Arabidopsis thaliana: one gene and its partners. Changing the gene in region 1 together with any one later gene gives a genetic interaction. Each region holds a gene or a part of one and is shown in the gene's direction. Other genes may lie near its edges. The genes, in order: GL3, MYB23 and PIR121.

Evidence for each region.
Region 2: of GL3 (region 1) and MYB23, changing one suppresses a phenotype caused by changing the other (phenotypic suppression), as found in Arabidopsis thaliana (one study listed by BioGRID).
Region 3: changes in GL3 (region 1) and PIR121 impair growth when combined (synthetic growth defect), as found in Arabidopsis thaliana (one study listed by BioGRID).

The regions. Positions count from the first base shown.
Region 1 is NC_003076.8:16,526,343-16,534,898, forward strand, and holds GL3 (basic helix-loop-helix (bHLH) DNA-binding superfamily protein), read left to right. Parts: upstream 1-2,747; 5' UTR 2,748-2,955; coding exon of another isoform or gene 2,956-2,957; 5' UTR 2,958-3,090; coding exon 3,091-3,236; intron 3,237-3,577; coding exon 3,578-3,859; intron 3,860-4,438; coding exon 4,439-4,535; intron 4,536-4,632; coding exon 4,633-4,704; intron 4,705-5,024; coding exon 5,025-5,858; intron 5,859-5,942; coding exon 5,943-6,377; intron 6,378-6,452; coding exon 6,453-6,524; 3' UTR 6,525-6,945; downstream 6,946-8,556. Other genes in the region: AT5G41320 (stress response NST1-like protein), read left to right, coding at 8,100-8,556. UniProt on the Arabidopsis thaliana protein: Transcription activator, when associated with MYB75/PAP1, MYB90/PAP2 or TT2. Involved in epidermal cell fate specification.
Region 2 is NC_003076.8:16,124,851-16,130,748, forward strand, and holds MYB23 (myb domain protein 23), read left to right. Parts: upstream 1-2,874; 5' UTR 2,875-2,998; coding exon 2,999-3,131; intron 3,132-3,260; coding exon 3,261-3,390; intron 3,391-4,221; coding exon 4,222-4,618; 3' UTR 4,619-4,811; downstream 4,812-5,898. UniProt on the Arabidopsis thaliana protein: Transcription activator, when associated with BHLH2/EGL3/MYC146 or BHLH12/MYC1. Regulates the epidermal cell fate specification. Mediates the formation of columellae and accumulation of mucilages on seed coats.
Region 3 is NC_003076.8:6,100,985-6,107,665, reverse strand, and holds the start of PIR121 (transcription activator), read left to right. Parts: upstream 1-2,685; 5' UTR 2,686-2,800; intron 2,801-2,874; 5' UTR 2,875-2,882; coding exon 2,883-2,936; intron 2,937-3,249; coding exon 3,250-3,322; intron 3,323-3,405; coding exon 3,406-3,470; intron 3,471-3,610; coding exon 3,611-3,688; intron 3,689-4,025; coding exon 4,026-4,145; intron 4,146-4,231; coding exon 4,232-4,302; intron 4,303-4,397; coding exon 4,398-4,490; intron 4,491-4,674; coding exon 4,675-4,744; intron 4,745-4,833; coding exon 4,834-4,898; intron 4,899-5,043; coding exon 5,044-5,239; intron 5,240-5,348; coding exon 5,349-5,500; intron 5,501-5,604; coding exon 5,605-5,698; intron 5,699-5,787; coding exon 5,788-5,997; intron 5,998-6,067; coding exon 6,068-6,279; intron 6,280-6,381; coding exon 6,382-6,526; intron 6,527-6,612; coding exon 6,613-6,681. Other genes in the region: AT5G18420 (CCR4-NOT transcription complex subunit), read left to right, coding at 1-65, 242-392, 470-607, 1,019-1,090, 1,166-1,239, 1,325-1,466, 1,677-1,761, 1,928-2,028. UniProt on the Arabidopsis thaliana protein: Involved in regulation of actin and microtubule organization. Part of a WAVE complex that activates the ARP2/3 complex. Interacts with the active form of RHO-family GTPases.

The DNA.
Region 1 (8,556 bases):
ATATAACTAAACTAAAATAATATATTAATGTTTTATCGAATTAATTGCATCAATTTTGTACACTAATCTAATTTAAGACTATAAATATTTATAGTAATTATTAATTTATCGAATATTAATTTATAAAATATTTTGTTTTTAAAAATATTATTTTATTGATTGCTAAGAGAAAAGAAAAATATAGAGATTGAGGAAACTTAAACGAAGATTGTACAAATTTATAGTGTAGTATTTAAATAACTTCACAATGGTAGATACAAATAGGTAGCTAAATTTTACTTTAATATTAGTAGAGTCTAAGTAAAATAATGCTATAAAAAGCAGGATAAAACAAAAGAGGATACGGGCTTAATGATATAATTAAATAAACGAGGTCTAATGTTCATTATGATTCTCATGGAGACGCAACAAGTAATAACGACAATTTTGGGAAATGACAAAATTATATAGTTGATGGCTTAATTAACGTCGCCAGTGACAATATTGACTCTTGGTCTCTTCTTTATTAATTGTTTCATTAAGCCAAATTAAGTATAATTTTTTGAATTCCCATCCAAATTCATGTGATTCTCTACCTCCTAAGATCCACCATGATCTTTGAATCAAATCATAAACAAGAAGCAAATCAAAAGCCCATTATTTACATAGTTTGACTTCCATTGACTTAGATGAACTATCTTACCTTTTTCTGAACCTTGAGAATTGAGATACATATAAGATGATGATAATATGCCTTATGAGGTGGAAAGTGGAACCACTTATGTTTCATTGTTAAACCAATATAGTATATCCAAATTAAAATATTATTTTCTCAGCTATATCCATATGTCATTTAGTATATGGGAAAACATACAGTTTTTTAACATAGAAGAGAGGATACAAACCAGTTAATAGCAAAATAGTGTCATGCTTCCATTGTCCTATACATAGCATTGAATCTCTCACATCTTCTCGTACATGCCCAAAAGTTTATGATTTTAATGGCCGTGTTTACAACATTATTTCTTCTGTGCCGTCTATGTCAAGAAAATAACAACATAGTATATACCCTATATATATATATATATTACTTCTTTTTTTAATTAGTTCCGTTTATATATATGAAAGAGGTCTTACAGAGGAGCCTTAATGCTCAGATACAATCAAATAAGATAAACATATAGAGACGAGTGTTCTAGTAAGATCAGTAAAGATGTGGTCTAATTTTGTTGGAAATTAGCAAACCATAGCGAAAGATAGGAGTCAGGAGATGGAGTTGTTGAAGTGAAGATGACGTCTTGATCCAAACCAGCAAGGCTTCATCGGATTAGGAGTTGAATTCCCCATTTAACTTGAGTTAGTATTCTGATTGAAAATAACAATATATATTAGTGTTACATAAGTTTGGATCAGACAAATTTTATATTGTTGTATCGAAAGCTATACCAAATTTCCTAAATATTACCCTCAAACATCAACACATCCGATTAATTTACCGAAACCTCCGATCAACAGCACTACGAATGTTTAGACTTTGATCTTGTAGGGGACCGAACGTGTATATATATTTTAATGTTTTCTGACGTCAACGTCTCTCTCTTTTCTAGATGTCAGAAAAGGAAAATAATAAGTACTAATGGTCCATTTAGCAGGGTTTTATTTAAAGTTATATTTTAAATAGTTGCATAAATACTTCGAAAATATAGGTTTAATAGTATAAGAGAATTTTGAAATATAATAATATTGTAAGTATATGACTATAGGGAGAATCAACGTCGAAAATGTCCATAACATTTTTATTCATTTTAAAGATGTGATTGCAAAAATTAAGATTGTGTCTGTACGTATTGGGGGAACTCCTCGAGGCCAAACATTAATTTCGTGTCTTTCTTTGTGTTTCCCAATTTTAGTAAAGACTGTTCTTATATTATCTCTTTCCTCCTCAATTTATCTATTATTGTGTTTGTGACTATAATTTAGATTCATAGCGATTAGCTTCGTTTTGACACCAAGTAAAAAGCTGATGATTTTACTATTATTATATATGTTAATCATATACTCTGATTTGAGACATTATACTTTTGGTCGTTTTGTGTACTTTTGGAAAATTCATAAAACGATGTTACTCACCGACAATAATATATTTCGATCACTCAAATAGTAATAAGACTGATTAGATTATACAAAATGAAAGAAATCATACGATGCTGGTTAGATTGGACTTGGATCACATGCTAATGGTATTCTAGTCAACATTGCTTCAAAGATCTAATAGTCAAGGAAACAAATTTTTTTTTTTTGGTATCAGTGGGGATATTAAGTGAGGGAAACATTTTTTTTCAAGAATAGATGGGTGAAAAGTTCAGCCTTGACGTGATAACATTTTAACTTTAAAATCAGTGTTGGAAGAGACACACAATGATTCAATATTCCCAAAAAAAAGAGATCTCTAGAACCACAAAGAGACTGAATAGAGAATTTATTGAAGACAAGACCACAACAATGGACATTGTAGTTCATTGTCTTAAAAAAAGGTTGTTCTTCCCAAATGAGGAACTAATCAATCAACTTCAAGATAAAAAGAGGAACAATCAATCAACATCAGCGTTTTGCTTTTTTCCTCTACTTTTGTATCCTTTTTTTTTCTCATAAATCATTAAAAAATTATAAGTACTTTTTATTTTCGTCATAAATGTCTTGTGTTTTGTTCTGTACACAACAAAGATGATATCGTCATATTCAAAGAAAAAAAGGATTCGTAGACAGTTCTTCTAGTCTTTCGAGTTCAAGCTCAAACAACAACAAAATTAATATTCAAAACAACATTAATAAAAAAAAAGTATGGAGTGACCAAAGAAAAAAAAAACTCTCAAACATTTCTCTGTTTGTTCCGGCGAAAACGGCAACTGTTTCATCAAATGACAAACACAAAAACCTTAACATCTAGTTTGTATCCTCTCTGATACTTCAAAAAAAATGTAAAGAGTTACAAGTTTCCCTTTTTCTTTCTTTTTTAGGCTATAAATTTAACATAGTATCTTATTTCTTTCTAAATCAGGACAAAAAGTTTGATTTTTTTCTTTTCTTTTCTTTTTCCCTGTGTGTGGTTTCATGGGATATAGGGATGAAGAAACAATGGCTACCGGACAAAACAGAACAACTGTGCCAGAGAATCTGAAGAAACACCTCGCAGTTTCAGTTCGAAACATTCAATGGAGTTATGGTATCTTTTGGTCTGTCTCTGCTTCTCAGTCTGGGTAAGTTTCTTAAATCATATTCATTGAACACTAGATATTGGAGATTTTGAAAGATATTGATGAAGTAAATTTCTTGATTTTAATTGGAAAATTAGATAAAACTTATGTGTTCACTTCAAATCAAAACTAGTGTTTAGTTCTACAACTCAAGACAAGGTTCTCTAGGTTTTTCTTGATTCCATTGATTTTTTCTTATAAACTCATATAAGGTTTCTTGATCTTCTTTAAAAGTTCAATTTTTTTTCTCTTCTTCTTGAAGTTCTTGATTAGTTCAAGAAAATGTTTTGTTTGTTTTCTTTATTCGATTTGATATTTGTTTTTGTTTTTCTATATATAAAAAGAGTTTTAGAATGGGGAGATGGATACTATAATGGAGATATCAAAACGAGGAAGACGATTCAAGCTTCGGAGATCAAAGCTGATCAGCTTGGTCTACGGAGGAGCGAGCAGCTTAGCGAGCTTTACGAGTCTCTCTCCGTCGCTGAATCTTCTTCTTCAGGCGTTGCTGCCGGATCTCAAGTCACCAGACGAGCTTCCGCCGCCGCACTTTCACCGGAAGATCTCGCCGACACCGAGTGGTACTATTTGGTTTGTATGTCTTTCGTCTTCAACATTGGTGAAGGGTAATTCCGTCTTTTCCTCTATCAGCATTGACATTTATTATGTGTCATGATCGTGTTGATCTTTGCCAGTTTTAAACAACGTGCCAAAATATACTTTTAATACTAGTAGGTCCAAGGATTTCGACTTTTATGGTTCAGTTTAGGTTTGTTAGATTTCAGGGTTCTGCAGGAAAAAAGTATGAGCTAGAACCAATTTTTTAGTTTCAGTTTGGTTTCAAAATTTAATGTCCGGATTTGGTCGGTTTCAGATTACAAAAGAAAAAGTTAAAACATAATTAATTTTAAATAATAATGTGTATATATATGCATTAGTATGTTTAACTCTATTCTACATCTAATAAATTTTATTAATTCGGTTTGGTTGCAGTATATTTGTGTTCGATTCGAGTTTAGTTCGGTTTATTTATCATCACAAAAGTTTGTTTCTGTCCGGATTAATTAAAAAATTCGTTTCATTTTGGTCTTTATGAACACGGCTAATTAACTTTCAATAATTATGAATATGTTAGGAAGAAAAAATGTGGAAAAATTAAGCTTAGAATGCATTGCTGCTTTCTAAATGAACCTGTCTTTTTGCAGAATGCCTGGACGGACGTTTGCAAACGGTGAACCGATATGGTTGTGCAACGCTCATACGGCGGATAGTAAAGTGTTTAGCCGTTCTCTTCTAGCAAAAGTAAGTTGTAGTATTGATGTAGTTGCTATGTAACACTTTTTTGCGATTTGAAAACACTAAAATCGTTCGTTTTTGTTTGCGTTTTGTGGTGGTTTAGAGTGCTGCGGTTAAGACAGTGGTTTGCTTCCCGTTCCTTGGAGGAGTCGTTGAGATTGGTACCACAGAACATGTAAGCCAATATTTGTGTTTTCTGCTTCCAATGTTTTAGAATAATTATTATGAAAATCCTTTATTAAGAAAAAAAGAATAATTATAAAATTACCACAATGTATTCTAACATTTCAATTTGACCCTTCAATCTGTCGAATAACGGTATAGACACCAAGAACACACAAACTAATATTTTAGTAGTCTCGATTTTTAAAGATTTCCACGGTTTGGTTATGACAAAACGCGAAAATACGGCTTTTGTACTTTTTACTAGCTCGTTGGTATAGTTATAATTGAAAACTTTTTCAAGGCTTTTTCTTGGTGTGTTTCGTCTCGTAGATTACGGAAGACATGAATGTAATACAATGCGTGAAGACATCATTCCTCGAAGCCCCTGATCCGTACGCTACAATATTACCAGCAAGATCCGATTATCACATCGACAACGTTCTTGATCCGCAACAGATTCTAGGCGACGAGATTTACGCGCCTATGTTCAGTACGGAGCCTTTTCCAACAGCTTCTCCGAGCAGAACTACCAACGGTTTCGATCAAGAACATGAACAAGTAGCAGATGATCATGATTCTTTCATGACCGAAAGAATCACTGGAGGAGCTTCTCAGGTGCAAAGCTGGCAGCTCATGGACGACGAGCTTAGTAACTGCGTTCACCAGTCGCTAAATTCCAGCGATTGCGTCTCTCAAACGTTTGTTGAAGGGGCGGCTGGACGGGTTGCTTACGGTGCAAGAAAGAGTAGAGTTCAAAGACTAGGGCAAATTCAAGAGCAACAGAGAAATGTGAAGACATTGTCATTTGATCCAAGAAACGACGACGTTCATTACCAAAGTGTGATCTCAACGATTTTTAAGACCAACCATCAGTTAATTCTCGGACCGCAGTTTCGAAACTGCGATAAACAGTCAAGCTTCACTAGGTGGAAGAAATCATCGTCATCATCATCAGGAACCGCCACGGTCACGGCACCATCACAAGGAATGTTAAAGAAAATTATTTTCGATGTTCCGCGAGTGCACCAGAAAGAGAAGTTAATGTTGGACTCACCAGAAGCCAGAGATGAAACTGGGAACCATGCGGTTTTAGAGAAGAAGCGCCGCGAGAAATTGAACGAACGGTTCATGACCTTGAGAAAAATCATTCCGTCAATCAACAAGGTATATTTATATAATCGATTCTTCAAAATTTCAAATCCATATATATCGCGAGGTAACTAATCTTATGTTTAACATTTTCGATAGATCGATAAAGTATCGATTCTTGACGATACGATAGAGTATCTTCAAGAACTCGAGAGACGGGTTCAAGAACTAGAATCTTGCAGAGAATCAACCGATACAGAGACTCGTGGGACGATGACGATGAAGAGGAAGAAACCATGCGACGCAGGAGAAAGAACATCAGCTAATTGCGCAAATAATGAAACAGGAAATGGGAAGAAGGTGTCGGTTAACAATGTTGGTGAAGCCGAGCCAGCAGATACCGGTTTTACTGGTTTAACCGATAATTTAAGGATCGGTTCGTTTGGTAATGAGGTGGTTATTGAGCTTAGATGTGCTTGGAGAGAAGGAGTATTGCTTGAGATAATGGATGTGATTAGTGATCTCCATTTGGATTCTCATTCGGTTCAATCCTCGACCGGAGACGGTTTGCTCTGCTTAACCGTCAATTGCAAGGTATACTCTCTAACCTACTTTTGGCTTAACCAGGATTTGGTTAACCTAGATTGACATGAAATGTGTTGGTTTCAGCACAAGGGGTCAAAAATAGCGACACCAGGAATGATCAAAGAAGCACTTCAAAGGGTTGCATGGATCTGTTGAAGACTACTTAGTTAAAATTGACAGCAAAGAAAAAACATTCCCGGTTTGGTTTCTATTCTTTGGTTTTCTTCTAACCGGGTTTTAGGAATTAATGTTATGTTTATCATTTGTTTTTTGTTTTTTTTTTGTGTCTTTTTTTCCGTTGCTTAACGTAGGTGAAGAGGAACATACACTATGCGTATTTTGTTTGAGGTAGATTATTTTAAGGGTATTAGTAATAGTAATAGCCAGTTTAGATGATTTTGTGTTCTTTTGTTGTTTAAGCACAAGGTTGATGTGAAATTACGGGGAAAAAAACATTAATGTGTAAATGAAAATTAGTGGTCAAAAAGCTTCACACGAAACGGGAGAAGATTCTGCATTTTGGCATTTTCATGGATAACAAAGAGGTAAAGTTTATGATAAGAAATCCAGATTAATTTCCTTAACTGGGTCATAAATGATTTCATTGAAATAACATAGTGAAAATCAACAAAAATAAATGCTGTAATATCTTATTTTTACAAATTTAGAGGTGTTGACCAAATTACTTTCTAATTTGCTTTATGTAATTTTACCTATCTAGTCATGTCTTATTATGTTTTACTTACCAACTCATGTTATTCTTTTCGTTTAATATCAAGGATATTTCAAACCCAAACTGAAAATAATCTTCATATATTAATGGAAAACCAGAGTACTCTTATCTTATCATTTAAAATCTTTGTGTTGACAAAAAAATCTTAAACAATAGTATAAAAACATGAATCTTATTCCTTTAAATTCTAAGGTGAATTCTAATTTACTTTCTAATTTGTGTAAAAATATAAAATATAGAAAAATGGGTAAACTTGATTATCAAGAAAAAGATCCAAATTGGAAAGCTAAAATATTGTTATTTAGAAGGTAGAACCAAAATTAATGACTAAAAATATTTTTCTTTGAATAAAATATACCTCATATGGAAAATATTTTTTCAGACAAAAACATAACTCCTTTCCTTTTTAACAGCAAAACCGAAAACATAAATTCAAAGATACATGTCGATTTTACACACAAAGTGTGCGATCAGACAAGACTCAAGGGAGAGATCGAGAATGGTGAAGATGGCCTGAAAATTCTTCTCTCCGGTAAGAACTTGCATTTACATGTTTTTATATATATCTCGGATATTTTTCTTAACTATGTGTGTACTTCTTAGTTCTCGAAAATGTAGTTTACAATAGTTTCTCTTTTGAATTAAGTCGAGATAATCGCAATACTACTCGGGTTTTACTAGATGCATTCTCTATTTACCTGTGTTACAGAGATGAATCCTTAATCTTGTATTTATGGATATGCTTTAAACAGTTTTCCAATTAATATTGGTTTATATTTGTTATCTCCTCGCCTAATATTCCATTGTTTAGAAGAACACTCCCATCTTTTTACAAAGTTGATGATGTGCTGATCCGTAATCCATTTCGATCTACAACAGACTTGTGTTGTTTATAGTTATCCATGTTGTGTTTTTTTATTCTTGCAGCTGTATGAAAAATCTTTGAAAGAAAGGTGCAATCTGTAAGAACAGAGTGAAATTAGACTGAATCTTTAAGAATGGGAGATGAGCCAAGATTCAGTGAGAAATGGGATTTCAGAAGGAAAGAGAACGACTTTGAAGATTCTTCAAGCGATGATCCAGATTCAAACTCGACCCAGCATCCTATCATTCATAACCCAAATCTTGAGTCGAATCAGATTGATAATGGAACAAAAACTGTGACTAGAGAACAACCTGTGAAAACCCGGAAGAGGAGGAGCAAGAAAGATGAGACTAAGCCTGAGAAAGTTAAGCAAGTAAGGAAAAGGAAACCGAAAACTGTTTGTGTGGAGGACAATAAGAAGAAAGATGAAACAGTTATGGGGACGGACGGTGTTGGAACGTTTATGGAGACGTTGCTTGATGAGCTTACGGCTTCTAGAGAGCGTTTAATGGATTGGGTGAAGACTGAATTGTGTGGAGCACCCAATGAAAATGTAGCTTCCCGTCCGCCTCCTAATAAGAGAGGAGTTG
Region 2 (5,898 bases), 400 kb from region 1:
AAAAGAAAAGAAAATCGAGAGTGCATAGAAAAAACTACAAACGCTTTTGATCTTATTTGGAAGTTCAAAATACTTTTAATTAACTATCCATGTTGATCACAAAGAGATTTCTTTATAAAAAAACTTTTGGCACTTATATGACACAAAAATCACTTCATATATATAGTTGGTAACTTATCCTTAAATTACTATATCTTAAGGAGATCAACTGTTGAATCTTTCTCTAAGTGATTTAAAGAAAATAAGAAGATAAGTGAAACTGATGATGTGCTAGTCAAATTGATATTTTAAAACATCTTCACATGAACAACTATTTTTAATAAATTAGGTATTACAGTCACTCACTTACAAAGTATGATGTTTTCATTTACAAAAAAAAAAAAAAGTTGTTACTCACTACAATGTTAGTCTAAAATGCACACAATAATCTTGGTAGGACTCTCATACCATAAGGCCCTTTAACTACCATGCACTCCACTGGTGATTTCACGTTTCTTTTCGGTTTAGTTTATTGGTTTTAGAATATTAGTATAGTTTGTTGTTCAAACGGGAAAAAAAAAGAATATTGGTATAGTTTATTATTTGGATCCACACAAGACTAAAATACAACAAAAATGGGTACATTTAAATTCTTTTTCACAAGATGTTTATAATGATTTATGGGAGATTTATAACAAACCTTATAAATTATTGATGGAAAATCTAAATGTGAATAGCTCTATACAGAAATTTAAAATAATAAATGAATGCAATGAGATGAAATGTAAGAAGCAAAAACAGTTTAATTACACAATTTAATGGTTAATTTCTATTTTTTTTTTCTTTTTCTAATAATATATAACTAAAGTATCATTTGACAAATGCATTTAAGAAAGGAAATTATATTTTAGTAAATAACAAAATAAAGATTATAAAAGGGTATAGTTGTTCTTGGATATATACTTTAAGATTATGCCTATTTTGGAGAAATTTCTCTCATGAAATATTTTAGGAAGATCCTTTATGATTATATAATATCATATTTATGATACCATTTCTTAATATAGTAATTTATGTTTATTGAAAATTTTATCCCATGCAATGTCAAAACCTAGTAGAGAATTAAGATTGCTTAGCTTATTTTTTAGTCTATAGGACTTTACGAATACAATGTATGAAATACGAATGTTAGTGTAGTTAATTAATAGATTAGATGATCAACATCAACTAGTTGGGTTGATCTGAAAGTAAGTTTTGGAATTAAAAGGATCTATAGGTCCTATATCATTAATTATCCATAAAACTAATAAAAGTAGGCTAAATCAAGTGGAAGCTATAATCTATAGACGTACATAATTCATATGCCCGACATAATATATTTAGTGTAGTGATTATCATATTACATTACTGTCTAGAGTTTGGTATCACGGATACTTATGTTTTTGTATCAAAGATGTTTAATTCTATAGTTTAGTTATAACTTATAACTGATAACATTGTTTGGAGAATAGTAACTATTCTTAAAGCAAATTTTACATGTTAAACTCTTTTGTTTTTGTTTTTTTTTGTCAAAGTTGTGTATTCCTATTTCCTGAACAAAACTATTATATACAGACTATATTCGTATATTATATTTTTTGTTGTCAAAGTTGTATTTTCCTGTTTCATACTATATATATCGACTTCAACTCCCTCCATTGGGATCCGATCCAAAAAATAATACTCATATGAACATATACACACATGACATATTGACATATCTTAGCTGGATGAGCCAGAGGATCTTCTATGTTTGGTATTAATATAAAAAGTAAAAACTGCCTACTGTCTATCCCAAGGGAATATTATTGTGTCCAATAGTAATTACCTTCCTTTTTTTCAATTTTCACTTCTACTTAACTTGTTAGTTGGGATACACATGTCTACCTAGACATATCTTGTTACAGTTTTTACATACTTTATTAGATATGGATAAATTTGGTTATAAATAAATCCCAGATTTTTCTTTCAAAACATATTTACTATCAATACATTTTTAAAATGAAAAACAAAATGTGAGGCTTGAGTATAACATATGTAAAACAGGTGTAAAAAAGTAAGGAAACAGATATAGATATATAGTGTTACAAAAAAATATAATACAAATTTAATTTAATTTATAACTTTTGGTAAATTATAACGAGCAAGAAATTTGAAACTCGGAATATGAAGTAAATTATTTCGTTAGATCAATAAAATATTTTTCTAACGGGTGTTAACACACACCACAATTTTACGTGGACGTTTTTGCTCTTAAATCTCAACTAAATTTTAGATTTTTAATTTTTAGGCAAAGCGTTTCCAAATCTTTCTTATAAGAAAATATACAATAGAAGAAACATAGTACACCGTTTTCAACTAATAGTTGAGGAATATTGAGTTTATTCGGATCACATATTTTTAGTATTGTTCAACCAAAACCAACAAGATAGAGAGTCAACAAGCCCTTCCAGTTCTTTATATAGTTTCCCTACTAAATCCATCTATTAATCAATTTGAGAACAAACTCTTCAAATCCTCTATCTCCTTTTTTGATAAAAACATATTTTTACTTTGCCACAACTAACTAATACTATACTTTATTTTATTTGATGAATTCTCTCATATATTAGTAAGAAGAACATGTTGTCTATATCTACACCCGTTTAAATGGTTAAATCAATTTCGTTAGGTTGACTTATTGGTAAAAGAATGTAGGGATTGACTTTACCATATACGGACTTTTTGGAGAGACAACAGCAAACAAAACAAACATGTCCTTACGTATATATATATACGCACATATACATGTAAACAAAACAATATATACGTCACACGAATCATATATATATATAGAGTCAGGCTCGACTAATCATCACCGACTCAGCCACTTTCTCTCTCTCTCTCTCTCTCTCTCTCTCTCTCTCTCTCTCTCTCTCTCTCTCTCTCTCTCTCTCTCTCTCTCTCTCTCTCTCCTCGGGATCAAGAAAAGTGAAGAAGAATGAGAATGACAAGAGATGGAAAAGAACATGAATACAAGAAAGGTTTATGGACAGTGGAAGAAGACAAGATCCTCATGGATTATGTCCGAACTCATGGCCAGGGCCACTGGAACCGCATCGCCAAGAAAACTGGTATTTATACTCTCTCTTTCTATTATAGTACTCTCTTATTTCTTCTGGTATACTTGCTCTTACTTCTCTCTTTCTTGTCCTAAGAAATAAAAATTAGTACTAAAGATTGAAACTTTTGATGATAATTAGGGCTCAAGAGATGTGGGAAAAGCTGTAGGTTGAGATGGATGAACTACTTAAGCCCTAATGTTAACAGAGGCAATTTTACTGACCAAGAAGAAGATCTCATCATCAGACTCCACAAGCTCCTCGGCAACAGGTTCTTTTTTTTCTCCATATATTCAAAGATATATATTTGCTTAATTTTCTTTTATACAATTCTAATAGTATTATATATGTTAGATCATGTGTTTTGTTGTTCGGTGCTGCATTCACGTGAATCTTTAAATTGTTTATATGTGTACAGCTTGCTAGCTATATATCACATATATCTAATCCATAATTTATATATTTATAATATATGTTTTGTTGTTCGATCCTTAGTTCACGGTAATCTCTAAATTGTTTATTATTATTTATTTATTTTTGGTTGAAACATCTCTAAATTGTTTAGTTGTGATATAGATTACTTATATTTAACTGATATATTATATTCATTTATTCATAAAATAAGTGTATTTTATTAAGCTACTATTTACAAACGTCCACAAAGCAAATAATGGTTATTCAAAAATAGTAGTAAGAAACGGATCGTAAATTTGAATCAAAAATCTTAGATCTGTCCTTTGTTTTTTCGGCCATTAATTTGTATAGCTAGGTTTCTATTCAAAAAATATGCTTTCTCGAACCTAACAATGATTCATAATTGTACTCATTTATGGATCATCTGTATATATATACACATGTCTCATATAAACATCTACAACATACATAATCTGGCTACATGTATTACGCACATGCTCTATATAGGTCCATGCATAAGCATTAACTCCGTTTTACAAGATTTCTTGTTTCAAAAGTTTGCCACATATTTATAGCACATTCGAAAATCCATATAGTGTATAATACAATATTTATTTATTATAATTGAAGATTAAGAGACCACAAATAAAAATATTAATCTAACATCGTAAATTCTTTTAATATTTAGATGGTCGTTGATAGCGAAAAGAGTTCCGGGAAGAACAGACAACCAAGTAAAGAATTACTGGAACACACATCTCAGCAAGAAACTTGGTCTCGGAGATCATTCAACTGCCGTCAAAGCCGCATGCGGTGTAGAGTCTCCACCGTCTATGGCCCTTATAACCACAACGTCCTCCTCTCATCAAGAGATCTCCGGTGGAAAAAATTCAACTCTAAGGTTCGACACTTTAGTTGACGAATCCAAACTCAAACCAAAATCCAAACTAGTCCACGCAACACCAACTGACGTAGAAGTTGCAGCTACGGTTCCAAATCTGTTCGATACCTTTTGGGTTCTTGAAGACGACTTCGAGCTTAGTTCACTCACTATGATGGATTTTACTAATGGGTATTGCCTTTGAATATCTTTGATGATTAGCTTCTAAAAAGTAATTAATTATCGAATAATAGATTATAATGAACAATAATAATAATATGAATACAATTAAATTTTTTTCCGAATATTTGCTTGTAGCTTTTGTACTTTCTTTTGTAAAAGTAAGGATGATCAGTTGATAAAAAAATCTTATACTAGAAAGTTATTTGGTTATGTCCCTAATGTAACCAACTTAAATATCCTATTAGTTTACAAGTTAAGTGTTTATACTTCTACTTCATTCGTACATTGGCGTTCACATAAGATTTTCCGTATTTTGTACAGAAAAGAACAACTTAATCAAATTAAAGTGATAACTAGTGCATTTTCAGCTGTGAAAACTAACTCTTGGTTTCTATATCTAATTCTGGATTCTCCAAAAAAAAGGTCAATCCTAACTTTTAGTGTAGTGGAAAATACAGACTACCAATATCTAATTTATACTGTATCATTTAGTTTGGCATCTTTCTAATAATGATTTATACTCGAACATTTATAAATAAATGGTATAGTTTTAATATGTGAGAAAATCTAAAATGATAAAAGGAGAGTAAAATATAATCTTCGCTTGCATAAGGTCGGAAATTTTTTCATTTTAAGTCAACAAATATGGTCAACCGAGATAATCCAGCTGTTACAAGCCTTGATTCTACGTATCACCCGCTTGTAAGATTTTTATAAAATGAATGAGGTCTTGTCAGGTTAGGCTCTTTGTGTCTCTTAATTATACATTAATTACATTGACTAATGTTAGAGTTCTGAAATCAATGACGATTAATCTATCATACATATTCATACTTTAGATAAGACCAGACCTCGTACGTTGGAATTTGAAAGTTAGTTGAAGAAGCCAAGACTGTTAGAGATTATTTTTTCTGGTTGACTTAAATAAATTGTTCCAACAAAAAAGTAAACCAAATCATTAAAACGTATTTATGTCTTAAAATTAAAACCAATCACGTTAACGTGACTTGGTAGATTTCGTGACAGCAATGGATATCTTGAATTCTCATCTTTTATTTATGAATTGAGGAGCAATATAATCATCTCACATTTATTTTGTAAGAATTTATCATTTTATGTCATTTATTTACTAAATAATTTTATATTTTATTCATATTTAGGCATTTTAATTGTTTCATAATTTTATTATTATCATAGATGTGATAAACTAAAAAATAGTAGATATATTGTCCCGTTATTTTTTCTTATGTATGTATTTTACTGCACATAAATTAATCTTCTGAATTTTTTATTTTTTATTTT
Region 3 (6,681 bases), about 10 Mb from region 1:
TATTCCCTGAAAAAGCTATTGCATGATCCTGATGTTCCTCGTGGGTGTGATCCTAACTCTCCAGAGTACGTAACCTATGAGTCAGGGGATTCTGTTTCTTTCTAACTGTTATATACAGTTGAATCTGATCTATTTCTTTCAAGCTTCCAGTTTTCCTCCAAGCTTAATGTTCTGTGTTATAATTAATGTGCCAATTTGAAGTTGATTGTATGAATGATCATTGAGTCAAATAATCTTATAGGTTTGATGTGCAAGCTGGAGTGAATCCCAGAATTGGATCTGGTGATAGGGATGAGGCACTATCTGGATTCTTAGGAAATTTGACAATGGGGGGATTAGGTCCTAGGTGGATCCGTCCATGTCCACCAAGGTACCCAGTTCATCAGAGCGAGGTAAAAATAAGAATAACCCCTTATTCAACTGGTTCAGAAAATTATCGAACTGACCTAAATGGTTCAACTTCTTACAGTTGCTTTGGATTGACCCTGATAACAAGCATGAGCTTGTTTGGGACGATAAAATGTGTGCTGATACTAGCAGTGGTGCAACAGTTAGAGACTTGCTTGTTAAGGGTTTAAAGGTGACACTTTCACCTACGGAGCAAGAGGTATGTTATCGCTCGTTAATTCTTGATATGCGCATAAAATCATACAAGTATTGACCATTTTATTACCTATCTTACTCTAACACTTATAAGCAAGTTAACATAGCAATGGGACAGTAACTACATATGCACAAATTTTAAAGGTTGTAAAGGCAGCCATTGTATGGCAGTAGTTTTGAGAGAGAAGTCGTGCTCGTGCTATCACTCTAGTATTTCCTTTCTCATTGGATTTAAAGATCTAGGATATTAAGAAGGAATTGACTGCAGTAAGAGTTTATGGAAAATAACCGTGCAATAGATAAATAGTGATTGTGATGTTTTATTTCATCAGCCTTGCCCGTATAGCTGATGAATTTAGAAAACCTGGATCTTTTGAGTGATTGAAATAACTTGTTTTATTTATTTACTGGCCAGGACATCATTACAGAATTGGCAAATGACCCAAAGCTTGTCTTTCACTGCGGAATAACTCCACGGAAGCTGCCGGTATGTGATTCATTTTCTGGCAGGTGGTTTTTTTCTTTTTTCTTTTTTTCATGTGATCTAGTTTCTTATTCTCAGCAATTAGTAGAGCACAATCCTCAGATAGCAGTTGAAATTCTCACCAAGTTGAATAACTCCACAGAGATTAATGAGTAAGTCATCACCTTATTGGTTCCACCATTTACTTTCGACCAAAATTATAACTTTTAAAGTGGGAATCTAAGAATGCTTCTTCAGCTATTATGAAGCTCTAGGAAATATGGACATGAGCCTGCACTCAATGGAAGTTGTGAATAGGCTCACAACTGCAGTTGAACTTCCCAAGGACTTCATACGGATGTACATCACTAATTGCATATCGTCTTGTGAGAACGCTAAGGTATTAAAACAAAGCGTCCTTTTGATTTCCCGTTAGGTACTTAAAACAAAGCTTTCTATGAGTATCCATAACGCCATCCTATAATCTTGTGTGAAAAAACTTCTGCTTGTGCTTTGCATTATGTGCTTTGTGTATATGATTCTCGGATTTGTTGATTTCAATGTAGTTGTTTTGTTAACGGTATAGTGATATATTGTTTTCGATCTGTAGCAGCAAGACAAATACATGCAGAATAGGCTTGTACGGCTTGTTTGCGTCTTCTTGCAAAGCTTAATTCGTAACAAGATCATCAACGGTATGCATTCTCTGTTTCTGACTGATTGCTATCAAATTAGGCGTTTTGCTTTGCTAATAACACAGAAAGATCACTAGATACATTCACAGAGGAAGCTTTTATAGTCTATTAGTATGATGTACAATTGTGGGTGATATATGTTTTTTTTGGGTAAAAAATGTAACAGTGAAGGATCTATTCATAGAAGTTCAAGCTTTCTGCATTGAGTTTTCTCGGGTTCGAGAAGCAGCTGGTCTCTTCAGGCTTTTGAAACAATTGGATGAATAATTTACTCTTTCTTCTTCTTCTTCTTCTTCTAATCATCTTCGTCTCCATTTTATTGTATTCCCTATTTTTGTAGCTAAAGAAAGTACTTTATTTTGAATCCAAGACAGTTTTCGCTTTTTCTAGAGTTTCATTCTCAATTCATATGTTTTTACAACAAAAATTTCTGGTTAGACTTAGACGGCATGTCCTTTCCATTAGGCTACTAACACTTAACCGTGAACGGTTTACATGCTCACACCGATAGCACCAACACCTGCTGGTTCTTATCCGGATTGGTTTAAGGCTCCGGTTAAACCTTAAAAGTTGTTACTGATTCTACAAAGTAACTTATTTTATGTTCAGTAGTTGTTCACTGTAAAATTGTATTTATATCTATTTTGTTTTGTTACTGGTATTACTCTTATGTATTTTCCCAAAATAAGAAATGGTTGAGGATAAAGGAATCAGTAAATAATGATTTAGCTGTCATCAAGTTTGCTTCATAGTAAAGACACAAATGTAATGCTTCTTCTCAAAGCTTTAATCGGATTGAACAAATATGTACTAAAGAAAAATTCTGAAAGGTGAAAATACAAACGAGGACCCAAAAAGAAACATTTTTTTTTTGTTACAGAAAAACAAATAGAAAAAGAAAGCTTCCAACTTTGCGAAATATTTGGTTCGGACAGAGTAGTAGCGAATTTATCGATCTCTGTCCGTAAAGAATCAGAAGAAAGGCGAATCAATTGACTTGAAGTAGTAGCAGCTCTCCTCTCCTCTCCATTGTTGTTGGGTAAGAGCCTTAAAGTTGAAAGCTTTATCCTTTAGTCGCCCAATGTTGCTAATTGCTTCGTCTGATCTTTCCAGGTGACTCAATGGCGGTTCCTGTAGAGGAAGCAATCGCAGCTCTTTCCACATTCTCCTTAGAGGTAACTTCGATATTCTAGATTTTGGTAAAATTTAGAAATTGTGGGTCTTTGGATCCTTTTGACTACAAATTTTCTTTCCGGAGTTCATATTTCAAAATTTTCTTCTAGAAAGGATATGAAATTATTGTTTCTATTTCTTGTTAAATCCTTTTCGTGTAAAATTATCACATATATTGTTTAATCACCTGTGGATCTTTGCCTAAGTTAGCAGTAAAATAAGTTTCAACGAAATGTTGAAGATTTAAGTAGCTTCTTGAAAAATTTGAAGTCACTCTAGTACATTTTCTTGAAGCATTTTGAATTTTGGTTATAGGATGAGCAACCAGAAGTCCAAGGACCGGCTGTGATGGTTTCAGCTGAAAGAGCAGCAACCGATAGTCCCATCGGTATGCTTCATTGTTCTCTTGTCACTCTTTTACCATAAAATCCAAATAATCAAGATGTTTTTTTTTTTATTACTATTCTGTAGAATATAGTGACGTCGCTGCATACCGGTTGTCTCTATCAGAAGACACAAAAGCTCTTAACCAGCTGGTATATGGCTATTCTTCTTCATTTGCCTCATCTTAGAAAGACTGATTAAATTACGATTTGATATTTTTACGGTTATGTTGTGTTAATCGTGTTATATTTGAATACTTCAAGTAAGTTTTCAACCAATTGTATATATGCAGAATACACTTATACAAGAAGGAAAAGAGATGGCGTCAATTCTATACACATATAGAAGTTGTGTCAAAGCACTGCCTCAGGTCCTTGTGAAATCTATCACTACACTCCTTGTCTCCATTGCATATCTACCTTTAGACATTTTATCTGATAAAATGTAGCTTTGAGAATTATGCTATGCGTTAGTTCTTCATGGTATTCGAAATCTCGTAGCAACTGTACGAGACTCTTTTTTGAACTACAAAGTATAATGCAGTTATAATGCAAAAATAAAAGCAACAACAAAGTTCTCTGTATAAATAATAGCGAATGATAGAAATTACTGAAAATAATATCAAATACAGTACTTCTTGCTGGGTGTTGTTGTGTATATTTCTTCCATAACACACATAACTTTCTTTATTAATGATATACATGCAGCTTCCCGAATCTATGAAGCATAGTCAAGCGGATTTGTATCTAGAAACATATCAAGTTTTGGACTTAGAAATGAGCCGTTTACGCGAAATTCAAAGATGGCAATCGTCGGCTTCAGCTAAAGTGCGGTGTATATCCTTCCTCGTCCAACTCGTTTTATATAAATTCCTGTATCAGAAATAATGTGCGTATATTCTCTGTCTGTGCAGTTAGCTGCTGACATGCAGCGGTTTTCCAGACCTGAACGGCGGATCAATGGTCCCACAGTCACACATCTTTGGTGGGTTATAACTCTTATTTTGTGTTTTGTATTAGATCCTTGGATGATTAACTTTCCTCGTGTATATAGTTTAACTGTGATTTTACTTAATATAGGTCAATGCTAAAGTTGCTTGACGTCTTGGTTCAGCTGGATCATCTTAAAAATGCTAAAGCTAGCATTCCTAATGATTTCTCTTGGTATAAGAGGTGAAAGATATAATACTTTTATCTTTCCTATCTATATTTTCTGCAAATAGGACACTTGAATGTAGGTAGATCGATGTTTGTTACTAATCCTTTCAGCTACTAAAGCTCTATTTAAGAGTTGAATTAGTTTCCTAGAAGCTTTTTTTTTTAGTTTATGTTCTTAAGATAGTTTCACTCTTTTCAGAACATTCACTCAAGTCAGTGCGCAGTGGCAAGATACAGATACAATGAGAGAAGAGTTAGACGACTTGCAGGTGTTTGCATGGCTTGTTTATGCAATCATTTGATAATGCCTTCCCCTGTGGTTTGTCGTAAATGAAAATGTGAGTTCTTATGTATGCAGATCTTCCTGAGCACAAGATGGGCTATTTTACTCAACCTGCACGTTGAGATGTTCCGTGTAAACAAGTATCCTTTCTTCCAGACATTTATCACCATCGTGTGGCTGTTAAAGACATTATTATGGGTTTGTCTATCTGAGATATGCATGCTGCTCAAGTCCCTTGTGCCATTTGACTATATTGCAAGCTTTTGGATTCCTTAGTAAATTCAGTGTGGAAGATATTCTCCAAGTTCTCATAGTCTTCATCGTGGAGTCTCTGGAGTTGGATTTTGCACTACTTTTTCCTGAGCGGTATATTCTTCTCCGGGTTCTACCTGTTCTTGTTGTCTTAGCAACACCATCTGAGAAAGATACCGAGGCTTTATACAAGAGGGTAAAACTCAACAGATTGATAAACATTTTCAAGGTATTGAGATTCATGTTATACCTGTTTTCGCATTCACAACCAATATACCGCAAAGCCTTGTTTCCAAGTCGCTAATTGTCATATTTGTTGTGTGTTTTTCGGCTATCAGAATGATCCTGTCATTCCTGCGTTTCCAGATCTCCATCTTTCTCCTGCTGCAATTTTGAAAGAATTGTCGGTATACTTTCAAAAGTTTTCATCACAGACTCGCCTTCTGACTCTTCCAGCACCTCATGAGCTCCCTCCACGTGAAGCGCTAGAATATCCTTTAATATTTTCACTGTTACTTGCCTATTTTAACTATTATCTGGATTATTGTTAACCGTACACATGCTTTGAAAATTGCAAGCCTTAACATATTTTACATATCAGAGGCACTATTTGATAGTCAATCACATTGGAGCTCTCCGTGCTGAGCATGACGATTTCACAATCCGATTTGCTTCATCCATGAATCAGGTGCTCAAGCTATCTCTATCCCTGGAGCTCCAATTTTCTTGTTCTTATTTTGAGTCTCTAGGATGTTGTTCTCACTTGCTTTCATGCAGTTATTGCTGTTGAAGTCAAACGATGGAGCATATACTGAATGGTGCAGAGAGGTCAAAGGAAACATGTACGATATGGTTGTTGAAGGTTTCCAACTGTTAAGTAGATGGACAGCACGCATTTGGGAGCAATGTGCTTGGAAATTCTCTCGCCCATGTAGGGATGCAGGAGAGACTCCTGAAGCCTCCGGATCATATTCTGATTACGAGAAGGTAATACTTGTGAAATATTTTCGAAAAGTTTTATCTTTTATGGTAACAAGTTTTGGATTCTTTTAAATAGGTGGTGAGGTTCAATTATACTGCAGAAGAAAGGAAAGCCTTGGTAGAACTTGTTGGCTATATAAAGAGTGTAGGATCGATGCTGCAGCGCTGTGACACATTAGTTGCAGATGCTTTATGGGAGACAATACATGCCGAAGTTCAAGATTTTGTACAGAACACGTTAGCCACAATGTTGCGTACCACCTTCCGAAAGAAGAAAGATCTCTCAAGGTGAATTGGTTTTCCTTTATTTTCTTTCTGTTTCAAGTCCATGTTCTCTTAAACTTAAGCTTTGCATATTGTTAACTTATCATATGTATGGTTGCATTTCAGGATTCTTTCTGATATGCGGACACTTTCAGCTGACTGGATGGCAAATACCAGGCCCGAACATGAGATGCCATCTTCACAACATGGAAATGATGAAAGCAGAGGGAATTTCTTTTATCCGAGGCCTGTTGCCCCAACAGCAGCACAGGTTTGGGTCCATTTCAAGATGATTTTAAGTACAACAACAGATGGTAAGATCCAGTGCTTGAACTTCTTGCTTTTTTGTTGTTTCAGGTGCATTGCTTGCAGTTTTTGATATATGAGGTTGTCTCTGGTGGAAATCTGAGGAGGCCAGGGGGATTC